Linked DNA regions of Macaca fascicularis. The protein of the gene in region 2 interacts with the protein of the main gene of each other region in a pairwise test. Links are inferred from orthologs where the notes say so. Each region holds a gene or a part of one and is shown on either strand. Other genes may lie near its edges.

Region 1 (4,868 bases), on a different chromosome or scaffold from region 2:
AAGAAAAATACACCAAGGCTCCATGTTCCCCGTGACAGGTGGGCCTGAGGGGCCGGGGTGACCCCCCCCCAGCATGGCAGCATGATTTCTGTACAATCCATCCATCATCTGGGGCACAGGCGCGGGGTGCAGGGGCTATTTCTTGGCTTTGGCGGAATTGCGGGGTGGGGTGATGGGCCGGCCCCCAGGGTTCAGGCCACTGAACTGCCCGTACTTCCCCTTGTTCTTGTCGGCGGGCTTGAGGATCTAAAAGAGACAGGGTTGGTCAGGCTCATGGGGCTGAGCCACGGGGCCTAGTAGCTCCTTTCTTCCCCACACTCACCTGGAAGGAGCACATGAGGGTCTCGTCCACGCTCATCATGGCGCCAGCATTGTCAAACTCGCCACAGTAGTTGGGAGCTGAGAAAAGTGTCACCAGCTGCCGCTTGGCAAAGAACTCATAGCCATCTTCTACCACCTGGGTGAGGATCGGAGCAGTCAGTCCCAAGTGCAGGCAAGGCCCTCCCCTTCCCCCACCACAGACGGGAGCCACCAGCCCACCTGGTGTGCTCGGCAGATGAGGTCCAAGTCGTGCTTGTGGAGGAACTTGGCCACCACCTCGGCTCCAAAAGTAAAAGAGACGCCACGGTCGTTCTCGCCCCAGCCCTGCACGTCCTTGTCAGGGTCAGACCAGAGCAGGTCACACAGCAGGCCCTGGTCAGGCACGTCTGTGGGCCGCATGATCCGCCGAATCTGCTCCATGGACTGCAGGTCCGGGGAGAGGCCTGGAGGGCCAGAAGGAAGGTCACTTCCTCAAACAAGGACATCCTTCCTCCAGGAAGCCTTGGCCAGTGAGCCTCACTTTTCCACCACCCTCCTGGTCCCTCCACTGGTCTCCTGGGTGCCCAGGCAGGCAGAAGCCATCCCCTTCCCCTCAGCTTTTTCAAGTTCCCAAACAGGCACAAAGGCGCCCCTGGCCTCCGGAGCACAGAGCTCCTGGGAGAAAGGAGACAAGCCCGCCCCATGTAGAATGCACATCAAGGAAGTGAGTGCAGCCCAGCACAGGGGGGTATGGGAGACACTTCCTGAAAGGAGTGACTTCCCAGATGACAACTAAGGAGAGCTCACCTCCGTGGCAGCAAAAGATCTTTTCGTCCACTATGGCCGCAATGGGCAGGCAGTTGAAGCAGTCAGTGAACGTTTTCCACAGTTTGATGTTGTAGCGTCTCTTGCCTGCCCAGAGGGAGGTAGCTGTGAGGGGTCTGCCTGCTCCACCCTTAGCCGGGGTCTCTGGGCTATTCAGCCGCAGATGGGAGAGAGTCAGGCACCAATGCAAACCACCCCCACCCCTGCCGCCTGTCAGCCTTCCAGGAGTAATTCTAGTTACTTTTTATTTTAATTTGTAATTTAAACAAACAGGATCTGGGCAGGGCATGGTGGCTCACACCTGTAATCCCAGCACTTTGGGAGGCTGAAGCAGGCAGATCACCTGAGGTCAGAAGTTCAAGACCAGCCTGACCAACATGGAGAAACCCTGTCTCTACTAAAATACAAAAAAATTAGCCAGGCGTGGTGTCGCATGCCTGTAATCCCAGCTACTCGGGAGGCTGAGGCAGGAGAATCGCTTGAACCCGGGAGATGGAGGTTGTGGTGAACTGAGATCACACCACTGCACTCCAGCCTGGGCAACAAGAGCGAAACTCCGTCTCAAAAAAGTAAAGAAACAGGGTCTTGTTCAGTCACCCAGGCTGGAGTGCATTGGCAAGATCATAGCTCACTGTAACTTGGAGCTTCTGAGTCCAAGTGATCTTCCCGCCTCAGCCTCCCACCAGAAGTAATTCTAAAGCACCCGAGTCCACTGGAAACTGAGTTCCAATCTGGACCAGCCTCAGGGTTGGCACTCCTTGCACGCCCCGGCCCACGAGCCGGGCCAAGTACAGGTCTGGTTTATCTCAGCTTCTGGACAGCAGAGCTCATCTGCAAACATCCTAAATGCTTAGTAGCAAATGTAGAGGGAACGTCACCAGGCAGGGCCCTGGGGGAAAGCACTAGAATACGGACAGTCCTTCAGTCAGCAACCATTCCCCAGACCCCATGCCAGGAGGGGCAGGGCAGGCACAAGAACGGACCTGGGCCCTGCCTTCGTGGAGTGCACAGTCTTAGCAAGTGTCTGTCAGATATCAGGCCAATGTGAAGGTCCCACTGAATGACAAGGAGTGTGGTTCAGGACCCGGGCAGCCCCAGACGCTCAGACCACTCACACTCATCGTAGAAACCGTAGATGCGGTTGATGCTGGCGCACTCGTGGTTCCCACGGAGCAGGAAGAAGTTCTCGGGGTACTTGATCTTATAGGCCAGCAGCAGGCAGATGGTCTCCAAGGACTGCTTGCCCCTGTCCACATAGTCCCCCAGAAAGAGGTAGTTGCTCTCCGGAGGGAAACCGCCATACTCAAATAGTCGCAGAAGGTCATAGTACTGGCCGTGTATATCACCTGTGACCCAGGGAATCGGGTAAGCTAGATGCAGGGTCTAGACCTGAACCCAGGACCAGGACTGGGCTCAAGGGAGGAGGACTCCAGGAACTCTGTGGGGGCCAGTGCCACTTTCAGGAAAGCAAGGGGACCTGGGTCGGGGGGCTCACCGCAGATCTTGAGGGGTGCCTCCAGCTCCAGAAGAATGGGCTGGCTCAGGAAAATCTCCCGGGATTTCAGGCACAGGCCGCGGATCTCGTTCTCTGTCAGCTGTACATTCTTGCCAGGCCGCGAGCCCTGCACTGGGGGCGCAATGGGGTGTCAAGACCCGGGACCCTGACAGGAGGAGGGTGGGCGACACGGGTGGCCCCATGGATACCTCCGGGGGCGCCTAGGCCTCCTCGGCTGCTCCTTGCCCGCAGGCAGCTGTTGCTGCTGAGCCTCCCGGGACCTCGGCCTCAAGCCTCCCAAGGGAAGCCCCCAACTACCCTCAGCGCCTCGGGAGGCGACTGTCGTGCGCAGGGGGCTGCCACCCAAACACCTCACAGCGCAGGACCCCTTCCTGGACCGGGCTTCCCGGGTTTCTCCCTCGCCTCAAGAACCCAGGCAACCCGTGCGCCCCCGGCCCGGGAGAGGGGGCTGCTCCGCGCGTCGGAGCGGGCCCAGGACCTCTCAGGCGCGTCCGCGGGGGGGCGGCTGCGGCCACCGAACCTCGCGGCCCGTCCCCGCCCAGTCTAAGCTGGCCCCGGGGGCCCGCCCGCGCGCCACTTCCGGGCCCGGCAGGGGGCCCGGGAGCGGCGGACGCAGGCCTCCCCCGCCGCGACCAACCTTCTAGCAGGCGCCCGATGATCGAGTCAAGGTTGAGCTTCTCGCTATCGGACATGGCGGCGCCGCCGCTCCAGCCCAGCAGCTCCGGGCCCGCTCCTGCCTCCCGCCCTCCGGCAGCCTCCTTCCGGCCTGGCTCTCCTTCCGCCCGCCCCAGTCCGCCCCCGGCCCGCGGCCCCGCCTCCGGGCCTCCCGGGCCCGCCCCGCCCGGTCCCCCGCGCTCTAGCGCCCCCGCTGGACGTGAAGCGCCGCGGCCCGGGGGGCGGGGCCTTGGCGGCGGGCTGGGGGCGGGGTCTGTCGGGGGCGCGTCCAACTGGTTACGCCCCAGAGGAGGCGCCCAGCCCGGTTCAGAGGATGTGGGGCCGGAAGAACTGTGGAAGTTGTTTTTCTCTTTCAAAAGCAGAACAGCCGTTCCCACCCCTGCCCTGGGTGGAGGGTGTTGTGAACATATTAATAACCGGCTGCTAGGCACTGAGGGTTAACTGCTCGAAGTGCAGGAAAGGAAACTGAGGCTCAAGAGATATGAACAGACTGGTGCAAGACCTGGACCTCGCATTCACGTACGACCCCCTTTTTCGTGGGTCTCCGTGGCCCCCAGGCGGCTGACCACACTCAAAGACAGCTACGGCTGAACTTCCAGCGCACTTTGGTCCTTGGGGCATGATAAATTAATATTTTCTTACAAGTCCCATAATTAGCTTTTATTTATTTATTTTTTTTGAGACAGAGTTTTGCTTTGTCGCCTAAGCTGGAGTGCAGTGGCGCGACTTTGGCTCACTGCAACATTCGCTTCCCAGGTTCAAGGGGTTCTCCTGCCTCAGCCTCTGGAGTAGCTGGGATTGCAGGCGCGCGCCACTGCGCCTGGTTTTTGTGTGTTTAGCAGAGGTGGGGTTTCGCCATATTGGCCCGGCTGGTCTTGAACTCCTAACCTCAAGTGATCCACTGGCCTCGACCTCCCAAAGTCCTGGGGGGGTTACAGGCGTGAGCCAACAAGCCTGGCCCCATAATTAGCTTTTGAGTAGCACAGTAATATTGCAGGGTGTGCACGTAAAAAGAATTACTATATGAGCAGACATGGCTGGGTGCAGTGGCTCACGCCTGTAATTCCAGCGCTTTGGGAGGCTGAGGTGGGAGGATCGTTTGAGGTCAGGAGTTCAAGACCAGCCTGGCCAACATGGTGAAACCCCATCTCTCTAAAAATACAAAAAGTTAGCTGGGCATGATGGCAGCCGCCTGTAATCTCAGCTATTGGGGAGGCTGAGGCAGGAGAATCACTTGAACCTGGGAGGCGGAGGTTGCAGTGGGCCAAGGCCCATTGCACCCCCTAGCCGAGGTGACAGTGTGAGACTCTGTCTCAAAGGAGCAGACGATAAATTAACCTTAATTCTTGTTGGAACCCTGAGTTGGGTGCTTTACATGCCAGTAACCTCAGAACTGGAGGTGGGCCTGCTGTGGCGGCTTAGGCCTGTAATTCCAGCACTTTGGGAGGCTGAGGTGGGATGGTCTCTTGCGTCCAGCCTGGGCAACACGGCGAAACCTCATCTCAACAAAAAAATACAAAAATTAGCTGGGCATGGTGGTGCACGCCTGCAG
Region 2 (4,200 bases):
GCTTGCAGTGAGCTGAGATCCGGCCACTGCACTCCAGCCTGGGCGACAGAGCAAGACTCAGTCTCAAAAAAAAAAAAAAAAAAGAAAACTCAGAAAAGGAATTGATCAGATTAACAAATCTAAGCAAACTGTGGTGTATTTACTTGATGGGACATCATGCATGCATGAAATTAATGTCTCTGGGTGGGGTGCGGTGGCTCACGCTATAATCCCAGCACTGCGGGAGGCTGAGGCGGGCGGATCACCTGAGCTCAGGAGTTCGAGACCAGCCTGGCCAATGTGGTGAGACCCCATTTCTACTAAAAATACAAAAAAATTAGCCAGGTGTGGTGGTGGGCGCCTGTAATCCCAGCTACTTGGGAGACAAGGTAGGAGAATCGCTTGAACCCAAGAGGTGGAGGTTGCAGTGAGCTAAGATCGCACTACTGCACTCCAGCCTGGGCAACTGGGTGAGACTCTGTTTCAAAACAAAACAACAAAACAGTGTCTCTGAAGATAACGTAATAAGAAAAATACATGATAGGCCGGGTGTGGAGGCTTACACCTGTAATCCCAGCACTTTGGGAGGATCGCTTGAGCCTAGGAGTTTGAGCCCAGCCTGGGCAACTTAACTTAGTGAGACCCTGTCTCTGTAGAAAGAAAAATACATGATAGATTTTTGTTAGAAAGCAGGATATAACATTTATACAGTCTGGTTACCACAAGGCTAAAAATACTAGAAGGCAAAATACAACATTTTCAGAGGTTATGATTCAATGAGGTAACTGAGTATTTTTTAAATTTGTATTTTAAATTAAAAATTCAAAGTTTTATTTAGTAGTACAAGAGTTTAAGAAGTTGCCACCTGTTTGCTGGGCAGCAGGAACTCTTGCCTGCCTAACCAGTGTATCATGCTGTGGTCCCAAGTGATGGCTGTGGCTTTACTCTTCTTTCCATCCCCACTAGGCTGCGCTGAACATCTTAAAGTTGCTGTCTGAGTTGGACCAACAAAGTACAGAGATGCCAAGAACAGGAAACGGACCAATGTCTGTGTGAGTGCACTGATGAAGGGGAGGCACTGATGATGGGGAGGCTGCCCCTCGTTTGTGTTGAGTTCACACCATCTGCTGACTCAGCGGGGAAATATTTGCCTGAGTTACTTTCTGGCCCTTTTGCCTGAAAGGTTTCCAAATTCTCTGGGCAGAGAGCTCTACTTTTAAAAAACATTTTGAGGCTGGGCACAGTGGCTCACGCCTGTAATCCCAGCACTTTGGGAGGCCGAGGTGGGTGGATCATGAGGTGTCAGGAGTTCAAGACCAGCCTGGCCAAGATGGTGAAACCCTGTCTCTACTAAAAATACAAAAATTAGCTGGGTGTGGTGGCAAATACCTGTAATCCCAGCTACTCGGGAGGCTGAGGCAGAGAACTACTTAAAACCTGGGAGGTGGAGGTTGCAGTGAGCCAAAATAGCACCACTGCACTCCAGCCTAGGCGACAGAGCAAGACTCTTTGTCTCAACAACAAAAAAAACCTTTTTACCTTTTTGAGTCGGTCATACCTTCACATGGTCAGAGCTCTCTTTTATTTTACAAGGTACAATCTTCTCCTCAGACAGCCCCCATCCCATCCCTCCTATTCTTCCCACTGCCTCCCCCATAGATCACATTTTTACTAGTTTCTCCTGTATCTTTCCTGTATGTTTCTTTATGCAAATATAGACATATATTTCTTCCCTCATTTTTTTCCTTTCCCCCCGCAGAGATAGCAAATACACACACTCTCCTTGCTTATTTTATTTACTGGCATATCCTGGGAAAACTTTTGTTATCATAAACTGGGGCTTTTAGTATTGTATATTGTACTTCCTGATGCTTGCCAATTTCTTTTCATTTTTAATAGTACTTTAATTCTCTTACATTTCAAAACTAGCATCATTTTCATTTTTCTTCCTTAAAGGTGTGGGAGGTGCTGAACCTTTTCTGGCCATGAACCATTAAAAAATCCCAACATATATACTGAAAATACTGAAACTGCTTTGAAAATTTGGAATTTCTGATACCTCCAGTGGGCCGAGAGACACGGTGGGTAAAGGATGTGGGCAGCAGCAGGGAAGACAACAGACACGAGGCGGCGGCTGTGGCCGGGCTGGACTGTGCTGGGGTTGTGACGGCCACTCGGTGACCTGGTGGTCCCTATGCAATAGCAGCTGCCTGTGGGGAAGAAGGGCTGCCCAGCCAGCTGGTTCTCCCGGGACACCAGCAGATCCACACCCTGGGCACCTCCGTGTTTGGTCTTTTTTTCCCCCTGTGTGAAAGAAGAAACAGCATGACCCTTTCTCAGGCTGGCTCACTCAGACACATTGGGACAAACCCTGGACAGCCATGCCAGAGAGAGGCCTTTGACCGGCCCCAGAGCTAAAAGCACCAGAGAAAATCAAATGCTTCCTACTCAGCGTGACCCAACTTTTCTAGCGTGCTATGGCCCCACCACCTCCTGCAGTACCCACACCATCACCACTGCTTTATCTTCCAACAGTGATCTGTATTCTTAGTTTCATTATTTTCTTTTGATTGATATGACACTATATAAAATTTTCATTTGAGAGTTTCTCAATTGTATCTAGTTATATAGCACAGTTTGGAAACTTGTCTGAGACTGACTTTATCAATAATCTAACCGACAAAGATCATATCCATGTGTATGTGGTTAGATATTTTTATTTAATTGACTAACCCAGGACAATTTCAGTGATGCAAATTGTGTGCCCTCTGGTTCTGCTGAAACAGTCCTGGACTTTCAAAAACCTTGAATAAGTCTCCCACAGTTGTATAAATTGGACAATTTAGGAATTTTAAACTTTAGATGATCATTTGGTTCCATTTTTATTTCTTTTTTATTTTTGTTAATGCAAACAGGACTTAAATGAACTTTGATCTCTGTTTTAAAGATTATTAAAAAAAATTGTGTATCTATACATACAGCTCTTGAGGACTTAGCTTTCACTACACTACAGGATATGATCTCCATGTAGTCCATATAAACCTGCAGACTGATTTTCCAGAGTGCTCGATACTGTTAATTACATCTCCATTAGGGCTGAAAAGAATGACCTACATTTCTCTATACAGCTGTGTTGCTTTTGATGTTGTGTTATTGTACACAGAAGTGTGTGCACTGAGGCTCTGCGTGTGGTCCATATGGAAAGCCTGGTAGCCCTGCGAGTTAAGTACTGCTTCCATTCATTGTTTACGCTGGAATTTTTCTCCCCATGGAATGTAAGTAAAACTTAGTGTTTGTCACCAATAAATGGTAATACTAAATTTTTTTTGTTAATTTATTCTCAAATGCCACTACTGCTAGGTTGGTCCCCTCCCAACTTGCCCCTATCCTTTTTTTATTTTTAAGAAAAAACTTTGTAATGCTTGTGATTCCATCTGGGCAAAAATCTGAAGATCTGAAATAACTTTATATCAAACCATTGATCAATAAACAGCTACTAATGAAGTGTTTGGTCCTGTTGAGCAGTAACTAAAATAAGGGAAGATGTGAGTAAGGGGATGGAAGCTCGTCGTGGGGGACCAGGGCCAGCCCCTGCGGGAACCGTTGCTGCCTCTCAGGCATGTTGGGTACCTGGATGTAGGGACTTGTGCCCCGTCCAGACCTGACATTGCTACCCAAAGAAATGACCCCAAGGATCTGAGGGGAGACTGCCGGACACTTCCCAGGGCACCCTCATCTCTCACCATACTGAGTACTGAGGAGGACATGCGTTCCAGCCTGGTTGAGGGGTGGGCTAGTTGGTTTTCGTTTCTTAATTTTAGAAGAAGTGGAAGAAGATTGTAAAGGTTTCACTATAAATCCAGCCGATGAGTGTACTGCCAGAATAATTGAAAGTGATCAGAAGGTTATGGAAAACGCTAAGGGCAGAAGGAAATGCAACATTTTGAGGATAAAAGCAATGAAAGGAGAAAAAGTGTCTTTACATCTTTAGAAACAACAAAAAAAGGATTCATGGACCTGTGACTCACATCACAACCCTCCCCCAGACTGAAGGTTCTTCGAGCAGCTGAGCCTGGGGCCCTGACTTGATGCACTTTCGCAGGGAGTGTACGTGGTGGCAGCGACACTGGAAGCCGACCAGTGTGATCTTTTGTGTCTCTGACTTGTTTATAAAAACTCACTCCATTGAAGAAGGGGTGGCCTGAGGCAACTTTGGTAACA
Region 3 (4,243 bases), on a different chromosome or scaffold from region 2:
CTTTCCTCATCTACTATTTCATAGAGTTGTGAAAATTCTATGAGTTAATGTTTGTGAAAATACCTAATGCCAATATCCAATAAATGTTAACTGAAATGAAGGGCCTAAACAGATCAATGAACAAGTGACGGGATAAGATCTGTTTTTATAATGCCTTTCCAAAAGAAATTGCCTTCAATTTGGTATTTATAGCATCACAAGTCATTTTTCTGGTTCCTAAACTAACTGCAGTAGGTAAACTGGGTATTGCAAACATCAAAAGGGCCACATTAACCCTATTCTAGAAAGACATCACAAAACCGCTACCCTGCTAAGATATCACCAACATGTACACTGACAGTGCTTTCTATGTCTGCCCCAGGGTCTTCACACAGCATTCAACTCTATTTTATCATTAAGGTTATCTTAGGCACAAGAACAATCTGAGTATATAAAACAATTCCTACAAGACTTGATGTGTTTACATTTACATGAAGTTTCAATCTACTAATTCCATCAGCTTCAACTACTAATACATTCAATAAAACAGGGCAGAAATGTAAACCTTTCAAAACTTAGATGGGCTGGAAGTTCAACTTAACCACTATTAAGTACCTATCATGTGTATACACACATGCACATGTGTACATATACACATACATTCTAGGGCACTGGGCTGGTTGTTAAGCCTGTAGAAATAAAGAGAATCTATGTTCTAGTCTTCCAAGTTCTCTCAGAATGTGCAACAATTGCAGAGCAAGATACGAAAAAGGTAACTTGGAGCGCATTCTCAACAGTGGTAAGGCTCTCTGATAAGAAGAACTGGTTCATGCGCCTAGAAAATAGCCTGCATGCCTGTACCAATCCCTGGAACAGGATACACTAAAGTATGCTGGCAAAGCACATTTTAAAATACCTTAACATCTTCCAGATATTCAATGTCGGCAGTGCAATATCCATCTTTCATTCCTCTTTTTAAAACCCTAAACCGCTTTCCTCCAACTGTATCAACCACAGACCTTCCATCAGGTAAGAAATGCACATTTCTAATTTGTAACATACAACCATAATCTGCAAAACTAAAAGAAAACCTTGATTAGTAACAAAGTGGAAACATAAACATGCAAGTTCTCATCCATATTGACAGGTCTAACATAAATACAAATATTTTAGTTCACAAAAAGCATACCTATTTTGTGTATCACTGACACACATGCCAAACTGTTTGGTTCCAGTCTGTATACTTCTTCGAATCATCAATCTATATCTTGGCTCAAATACATGGAGAGGGCAAGGCACAGTGGGGTAGGCCATAGTGCAAACAAATATTGGAACATTCTTGGTCAAGCTGAGGGAAAAACAGTTTAATTATTGAGTTCATACAAGAAAAATATTACCAAACACACACAAAAAATGAGTGAGGTTTATAACAGTAATGAACTAATGTAAAACAAAAAAAGAATAAGTTCTAAATAAGGTGGTTTTTATTCTTGGCAAGAACAAGAATCAGCACCCCGTTCATTAAGCTCACACTGATGAAATATTAATACTAAAAATCTGCTGTGATCCTCTTACTTATAAGAGTAAATTGAATTTTAAGACACCAGATTATCTTACAGAGCTAAGTATCTTTATGAATCAATTTATTATAATATTTTATATTAAAATCTGTTTAAATATTTATAACATATGACAATAAATATCTTTTATCCAAACACTTATAGTTACTCTTAGATAACAGTAAGAAAAAGTGAACTCCCACAACAGACAAAAAGCAAATAATTAAAAATTCTTAGGCATTAAAGTATTTTCAAACGCAAGATCAGAAAACATATTCTGATGAGATAACATTTTTTCCAAGTAATTAAAATGATATAACATTTTTCATTGCCAGAGTGGTAGAAAGAAAGAGAAGGATAAAGGCAATGCCCAGTCCTGTCTTAGATATGGGAAAACTGGCAGCATGGGGGCAGTCTGAAACAGCACAGGCACACTAAAGAACATGGCTACAGACAGCAGAAACCTTATGTTGTTGGCAGGAAATGTTCATGTTCTTGGAACCAACCAGCTTATTTTCAGACATGAGTGGACAAGTGCTACATGAATGTTCACTGTAGCAATGTAGGTAGTAACCAAAATGTAGAAGCATAAAGAGGAGACTAGTAAGATCAATTATGGTACATCGGTAAAACAGAATACTATGTTTCCATTAAAAGATGATGTGTATGAACTGAATTAGAAGAAATGCTTCTATCAATGAGAGGAACAGGTTTTAGATATAGATCATGAATAACATGATCCCACCTTTGTGTAAAGCCTGTTTATACATACTGCATTCAAGTTTGGAAATACGTATGTCAAAATGCCAATAGTTGATTCCCTTTGGGTTGCAGATTATGGCTTTTTTTAAAATGCTCATTTGTATTTTTGAGTTTTTTTCAAAATGACCATCAATTACTTATATACACATAAGATGAAACATGTGTAAAATATGTATTTTAAAAAACAGCCCCATTAGTAAGCAGCTGGACACCCTGACGCTTCTCTTCTCTCCAACACGCAGCTCTCTGTGTGTGACTCCCTCCTCTGTCCTTTGAGTCTACCACTCCTCTGTGGGCGGGCTGGTTGTGTCACTGTGTTTAAATTTTCAAAAGTAAAACTGCAGCTTTCTTAAATCTAGATGCTTCAGCATTGATCAGAAAGGTTCATGATTGTCACATCAGAGTATTTTGTAAATCACACAATAAAATACCAATTCTGTAAGAAGACAAATCAATATCTATTTCTATAAAGAAAAGAGTGGCAATCTTTCTTCTACGGAGGGCCCCTGGCTCACTGAAGACATCTGATGGACACATGTTGAAAAAGGAGAGTCTACAAGCACAGCTTTTGTTAGAAAGTGACATATAAAATGTTCAATTTATATTTTGAAAAGTAATGGAAACAAAAAGTTGTTAAATAAATAAAACAGCATACAAAAATTATAATTTTGCTTTTTAGTGTGTTCAATTAAAAGAGAGTAAAAGAAATAAAGAAATTTAAAACCCATGAATAAAATTTAAAGAGACCCAAGTGACTGGTCAGAGGGAAAGACATTTAGGGAAAAGAAAGGGAGAAAAATGGGAAAGAAAAACAGAAAAGAGACAACGAGCAATGCCTTGCCCTGCCTACCCAGCTCCATCAGCTGCTGTGTTCTCTGCGGAGTGGTCTGAATTACCAAATCCCAAAGTTACCTCTGAGATTTTCACCCTCCCGACACCAACTCAGTTGTGCTCCCAGTCAGTATCTTCATTAAGGGAGGATTTGGCCCTGAACACCTCTCTTCCAATTTCAATCTCAGATCTCAAAGTTTGGAAAGCCCCTTCCGGGCCTCCATGTGACAGAAAATCCCCTGCCAATCTAGGTTACTGACCCTAGACCTTCCTCTCGCCCTACTATGACACATGAGAGCTGCCATCACCACCAATGTCACTGTCACTGGCGCCCCCTCTCTATTTCCCATTCCACTGCCTGATGGCACTGTAGGAAATTCCTCCTCCGCCTAAAATACTGCTTCAGCCCACAGAGCTGAGTCAACCACTCCCTGTAAAACATCCGGATGTTACCAAGTGAACTTTTATAAAATTCTGTCTGTTGAGGACCACAGAAACTGACCAGTACTTCTTGACTAGACTGAGATGAACTACAGACAGGATCCAGCTTGCGGTGAGGTTTTCCCTTACTATTAAAGGGTAGTAGTTCATAATTTTTTTTTTATGAGAAGAAACTTACTGTGAGAGTTCAGCAGTTTCTTCATCATATATTTTTTTTCTCTCAGACAGTTCATCAGGCAGATACTTCACTATTAATTCTTCCAACAGCTGTGTGACACAGTACCTCCTATCTGCTAGATACTAAAAGACAATATTATTTTACATTCCAGCAGTGGTTTTCCTACAGTATAAAACAGGCAACACAGTTAACTGATATATTAAAGCCTTTATTACATATTTATACCATCAATTCTGGATTAATTAGTGAGGGGAACATTACAATGGATGATGCTAAGCAAAAAAACCTGTCTAAGGCTTTGCTCAAGAGCATTAAAGATAGTTGGCTGCAACCTGAACCAAGTCCTGTACAGAAGAACTGCTTCCTGCTGTGACCACAGCTCCTCTATGAGCTGCAGAGGGCCCTGCCCCGCTGTCTTCCATAACAGAGGCCCTTTTCCATCTGACAGCTCATGGGCACTAAACTGTCATTTTAACTGAGATACAAAAAGGAG
Region 4 (4,957 bases), about 41 Mb from region 2:
ACAACTCTATATGCTGGAGACACAAACCTAAAAGGACCCTAACCTAAAAGGCAGACCCCACAAACCTACAAGGCAGAACAGCTGCCTCTCAAGGCTAAAGTCTCGCATTTTTAAAAGGCCTTGGAGCTTCATTAACGTTCTTCTAACGTCCTAATGTTCTTCTAACCAGCTTTTCTAGGTATGAATTGACCCTGTGACACCAGGATGGTTCTTTGTCAGCCTCTTTGTCTATGAAATCAGAAATAATGGTACCTCCCCCAATAAGTTATGTGAAAGAAATGAAAGGGACTTATTATATATGAAACAAAAGCAGCACAACATCCAAACTACTGAGCGTGCAGTAGATCAACTCTCATTCCCACTTCCATTCCATCCATGCCGATTTAGATCAATCCAAGTATCACTGCCTTGGGGTTCATAAAGTCATTTCAGTTCATAAAGCACCGCAAATGCTCCTTCACCCTCTCTGCTCAGCCTCCAACTTGTCCTTTTAATAATCCAAACTCTCCACCTACTTAACTGAAGTGTGTGCGTGGGGTGGGGGGGAGGGAGCGGGGGGGGGGAGGGGTGGCCTATACTAAACAGCCCAACTGTTTTCAATGTGTCCTGAAATCTGAGACCAAGATTCTCTTAGGAATGCAAGCAAAGGGAGCCGATGGGACGCCAAGAAAGCACAGGTTAAACTACTTCACTTCATCTAGCCCCAGTTCTCTCCTGGCTTTGCAATTAATTTTTCAGCCTCAGACCAGCAGATGGAGCTGAAAATGTTGTCTAAAGAAATGAGGTTTTTCTTTTAATTTACAAGCTACAGTTTCTCAAACCTCCACACTGAATGGTTATATCCTGTTGAGCCTGTTGGTAAAGTTCAGTAAAAATCCAGTCCTCATTCCAGAACAGCTGAAACTTAGCTAGGGACGCGGAATAACAGAATCCCAACTCCTGACGGGCCCGCGTTTCCCGGGACACCTCAGGCCTCAGGGCAGTGGGAAGCCGCCGTCAAGCCCCCGCCTCACCCACGTCCTACCCTCGCCCCAGTCTCCTCCCACTCTTAGCTACATTTCCCATGTGACTAAAACTGGCTTTCTCTGTGTCCACCAGGACATCGCCTCTAAGTGGCTTAAGCTCCTAAGGAGCGCGATCGGCTCAGGCACTCCGCCACGCGCATGCCACAGGGCGCGGCCGGCCTTGCCCTCGCTGTGGCCTCAAGCACCGCGGCGCCTCACATGTTGCCATACGGAAGGCCTCGGCTGGGTCAGGCAGCTGCTGCTGGCCGTGACTGCATCAAGTAGTGACGTTTCACGAGCCTTTTAACTGAAATCACTCCAATACAAGGGCATGCGGGACTAGGTGAAAGCACTTCACCCAACCCCACACAACGTCCCCTCCCTCTCCAGCCAAGCGGCCTCCTCGCAGCGGAAAGAACAGCGAGGATCTAGGGGCGGGACCTGAGAGGTTTGGCCCAATCAGGGATCCCACCTAACCAGACGGGCCGGGGTCTGTGACCCTGTTGGACCAATAAAAACTCGACGGCGGATTTGCCGGGGTTTCTGGGAAGGTGACACTCCCGGAAGCTACCACCTCTTATAAGCCACACACGGGCGGAGATAGCCTTCCGGCTCGCAGTCCCACTGGCTAACCTCGCTGCCCGTCACGGGAATGCGAGAGGGGGCGGGGCCGGAGCGCTCGCGTCTGCGCGGAGTCCGGCTAGCAGCGCGCGGGAAGCCGCGGAACTGCGCCGGAAAGTCCCCAGGCTGTGGGGCCCCGGTGACCCAGAGTAAGCCTCCAAGAAGGAAGAGGAGGGAAGAAAGGCGGCTCTTCCCGTGCCCCTACCCGAGGCCTCGGTGGGCCCACCCTGTGACCTCCGCGGCCGGCCCCTCGGTGGAGCTGCGGCCCGCGCGGGGGGCATCCCGACCGTGGGCGCAGCGGCCCGCGCTGACCCTGGACGTCGCCGCGCAGGTAGGTTGCAGTCCCCCCGGCGGTCTGACCCCGGAGACAGCCTCTCGTGCATACCCCACGCCCTCCTCCATTGTCGGGAATAAGACACGGCTGTACCTTTGTCCACGTGGTAGAGTTGCCTCTCTACTGTGCAAAACGCGTGGCAGCGAATTCTCTTCAATGAGGAGAGGCGCGTCCCCTCGCAGAGCAGCTCTCGGGTCTGAGGAGGGCAGGGCAGGGCGTGCGTCTGTCTAGGTTTGAATTAAAGGCGACTCGCAGGAAATGCCACTGTGGTAGCTTCTCCCGTCCAGCTCTGGACACTCGACGGTGCGGGCCGTGGGAGGAGGCGGCGATCTTCACAGCCTCTTACTCCAGTCCTCAAGGTCTGGTTCTTTTTCTGATTTGACGCAGCGGGGCTGACAGCCCCATAGGTAACTGAGAACCAAAAGTGGAGATGGTCCTTCTATGGAGTGTGGGGGCGTGGCCAATTGTTAGATTGTGTTTGGAAGGACAGCCAGGGGCGGGGAAGAGGGGCATTTCTGAGATGATGGGGGGACTGGTGCCATGGAGGGAAGAGGAGTGAGGTGGAGATCGGGAATTCCAGCCAAAGAGAAATGGGGTCCCTGGGAGAAAATTCCCACTCCGGCAGTCCTGGAGTTGTCCTCATGGAGACTTGCTTACGCGAGTAAAAGGACAGCATCGTCTTGACAAAATTTCAGCCCTCAGTCTAGTCTTGTAAATGATAGATCAGGAATGCTCTTAACCGTCATTACCTTGATCCAGCCCTAGGTTTCCCTTTTCTCATTTGTAAAATTGTTATAGTAATACCTTTTTCATTCATTTGTGGTGACATTTAAATGAGGTAATATATGTGAAGCTCTTAGCAAACACAGCGCTGCTTCTTCGTGGGTTCCGCGTGGGGTGGATTCAACCAACCTCAAATCAAAAATACTCTTCAGAAAAAGAAAAATGCCTTTGTACTGAACATGTAGAGGCTTTTTTTTCTTGTCATTATTTCCTAAACTATACAGTATAACAACTATTTACATCCCTTCTACATTGTATTAGGTGTTATAAGTTACCTACAGGTGATTAAGGTACATAGGAGGATGCTGCGCATACGTTGTATCAAACAGTACACCGTTCTATCAGGGACTTCAGCATCAGCAGGTGTTGGTATCCTCGGGGGTCCTGAATACAGTTCCTCACAGATACCGAAGGACCGCTGTACTTAGTTCAGAGTACAGTTGAGGCTTCACTTTGAGGTCTGTGGAGGGCGTGGAAAGACCCAGGTCTGAAATTGGCTCTTAACTGCTCATTTTTAGGACAGCTTCCCTCCCAGCCAGCCCTTTACCAGAGGCAATGCACCACCTTTGCAGCCGTTAAAAGAACCTGGCTCTTTCCAGCCCTATGTGGAATGTTTTATCGCTTTCATAAGCTAATCATTTAAAAAAAAGGTCTTTTTTTGAAATGAAAAAAAAAAAAATCACTATTTAAGTTTGTAAGTATAAACTATTTTAGTAATGTCCTCTATTTTAGTAATCCAGTATTTTAGTAATGTCTTCTATTTTAAGTGAAATATTTTAATTATGGAGAAAATAACGTAACAGTTGTACCTGTACCCTGAAAAAAGTAAATGTCAATTTTTTTTTATGCTTTTTACTTTTTTATTGGGGGGACAGTGTGACATTTCAGCTATAGTACACATTCTGTGCCCACACACCCAAGAACTTTGAAATTTAACATGTCTTTCTGTGGAGGCACTGTGGCTCCACAGGACTGATGTGGTGGATATTAGTACCTATGTAAGCTGGGTGTCCTCCCTTCTAATCCCCACTCACCCAAGAGATTTGCTGCTTCCAGTTTACCATGGGGATTATGGCTGCCATTTTGGTTCTGTCCTCATGTCATTTGTGTTTCTACCCTCTTAAGAAACCTGCCTTCTCTGCCCTCCTGGTTCCTCTTGAGTGAGCTCCATGATAGACTTTCCCAGACTCAGCAGCTGACGAGCATTTCGTTGGTTTGGTTGGCCTTTATTGAGCCAGTGACCACTCTTCCCTTCTAAATGGTCCACTGTCTTTACCAAGGGGCAGTCATGTCTGTTGCAAGCATTCAGGAAAGAGTGGCCTTCCATAGTCAAATGTACTCTATTTTATAAAGTGTGATTTAAAAAATTAATGGTCCAGTCAGCCCTCCTCATCCTCTGGGAATTGATTCCAGCAGTCCCCCTACCCCTGCAACAGACCAAATCTGCTGATGCTCCAAGTTCTTGATATAAAATGGCGTTAAGGCCAGGCACGGTGGCTCATGACTGTAATCCCAGCACTTTGGGAGGCTGAGGCGGGCAGATCACCTGAGGTCAGGAATTTGAGACCAGACTGGCCAACATAGCGAAACCCTGTCTTTACTAAAAATACAAAAATTAGCCAAGCGTGGCGGTGGGCACCTGTAGTCCCAGCTACTTGGGAGGCTGAGGCAAGAGAATCCCTTGAACCTCGGAGGTGGGGGATTGCAGTGAGCCGAGATCATGCCACTGCACTCCAGCCTGGGTGACAGAGTGAGACTCAGTCTCAAAAACAAAAACAAAATGGCATAGCACAGTCAGCCCAATATATTTGCAGGTTTCGCCCTGAGGTTGCTTGAATCTGTGGATGCAAAACCCTCAGATATGGAGTGCTGACTATAACTAAATGTTTTTAACTAAACACAATGTATACTGTCTCAGTTTGCCACAGTGGTAATCCCATCTTAACAATGAGCAAACTGAGGCTTGGTAAAATTAGACATTTAGGTGTTGGGTACTATTTGAGCCTACAGTCATTGTTCTGCAGTCTGTAACTATTTTGCCAGTAGTAGAAAAGGAGGAATGTTCCATTGTCAGGGCAGAATGAACTTTGGCATTCACATGGGTTCTCTTCAACCTTACTTCCCTGCAGCCCCTGATTCCCCAAGGCAGAGGAAATACCCTGGTGGAGCCCTTCTTCCATAGAACCAGAAATGGCATCTGTGGATTTCAAGACCT

The links.
Region 1: the proteins of STAU1 (region 2) and PPP1CA interact in a two-hybrid assay, tested with the Homo sapiens proteins (2 studies listed by BioGRID and IntAct). The link is inferred for Macaca fascicularis from reciprocal best matches to the Homo sapiens genes STAU1 and PPP1CA.
Region 3: the proteins of STAU1 (region 2) and LONRF1 interact in binary tests that used the Homo sapiens proteins (3 or more experiments, as listed by UniProt). The two-hybrid records come from large-scale screens. The link is inferred for Macaca fascicularis from reciprocal best matches to the Homo sapiens genes STAU1 and LONRF1.
Region 4: the proteins of STAU1 (region 2) and NXT1 interact in binary tests that used the Homo sapiens proteins (3 or more experiments, as listed by UniProt). The two-hybrid records come from large-scale screens. The link is inferred for Macaca fascicularis from reciprocal best matches to the Homo sapiens genes STAU1 and NXT1.

The regions. Positions count from the first base shown.
Region 1 is NC_088388.1:6,974,441-6,979,308, reverse strand, and holds the start of PPP1CA (serine/threonine-protein phosphatase PP1-alpha catalytic subunit), read right to left. Parts: upstream 3,410-4,868; 5' UTR 3,334-3,409; coding exon 3,279-3,333; intron 2,753-3,278; coding exon 2,621-2,752; intron 2,472-2,620; coding exon 2,241-2,471; intron 1,213-2,240; coding exon 1,108-1,212; intron 765-1,107; coding exon 541-764; intron 458-540; coding exon 323-457; intron 247-322; coding exon 136-246; 3' UTR 1-135. UniProt on the Homo sapiens protein: Protein phosphatase that associates with over 200 regulatory proteins to form highly specific holoenzymes which dephosphorylate hundreds of biological targets.
Region 2 is NC_088384.1:105,175,694-105,179,893, reverse strand, and holds the end of STAU1 (double-stranded RNA-binding protein Staufen homolog 1), read left to right. Parts: intron 1-945; coding exon 946-1,031; intron 1,032-1,935; coding exon 1,936-1,951; 3' UTR 1,952-3,483; downstream 3,484-4,200. UniProt on the Homo sapiens protein: Binds double-stranded RNA (regardless of the sequence) and tubulin.
Region 3 is NC_088382.1:12,661,088-12,665,330, forward strand, and holds part of LONRF1 (LON peptidase N-terminal domain and RING finger protein 1), read right to left. Parts: intron 3,873-4,243; coding exon 3,751-3,872; intron 1,328-3,750; coding exon 1,169-1,327; intron 1,059-1,168; coding exon 896-1,058; intron 1-895.
Region 4 is NC_088384.1:63,954,692-63,959,648, reverse strand, and holds the start of NXT1 (NTF2-related export protein 1), read left to right. Parts: upstream 1-1,695; 5' UTR 1,696-1,956; intron 1,957-4,871; 5' UTR 4,872-4,932; coding exon 4,933-4,957.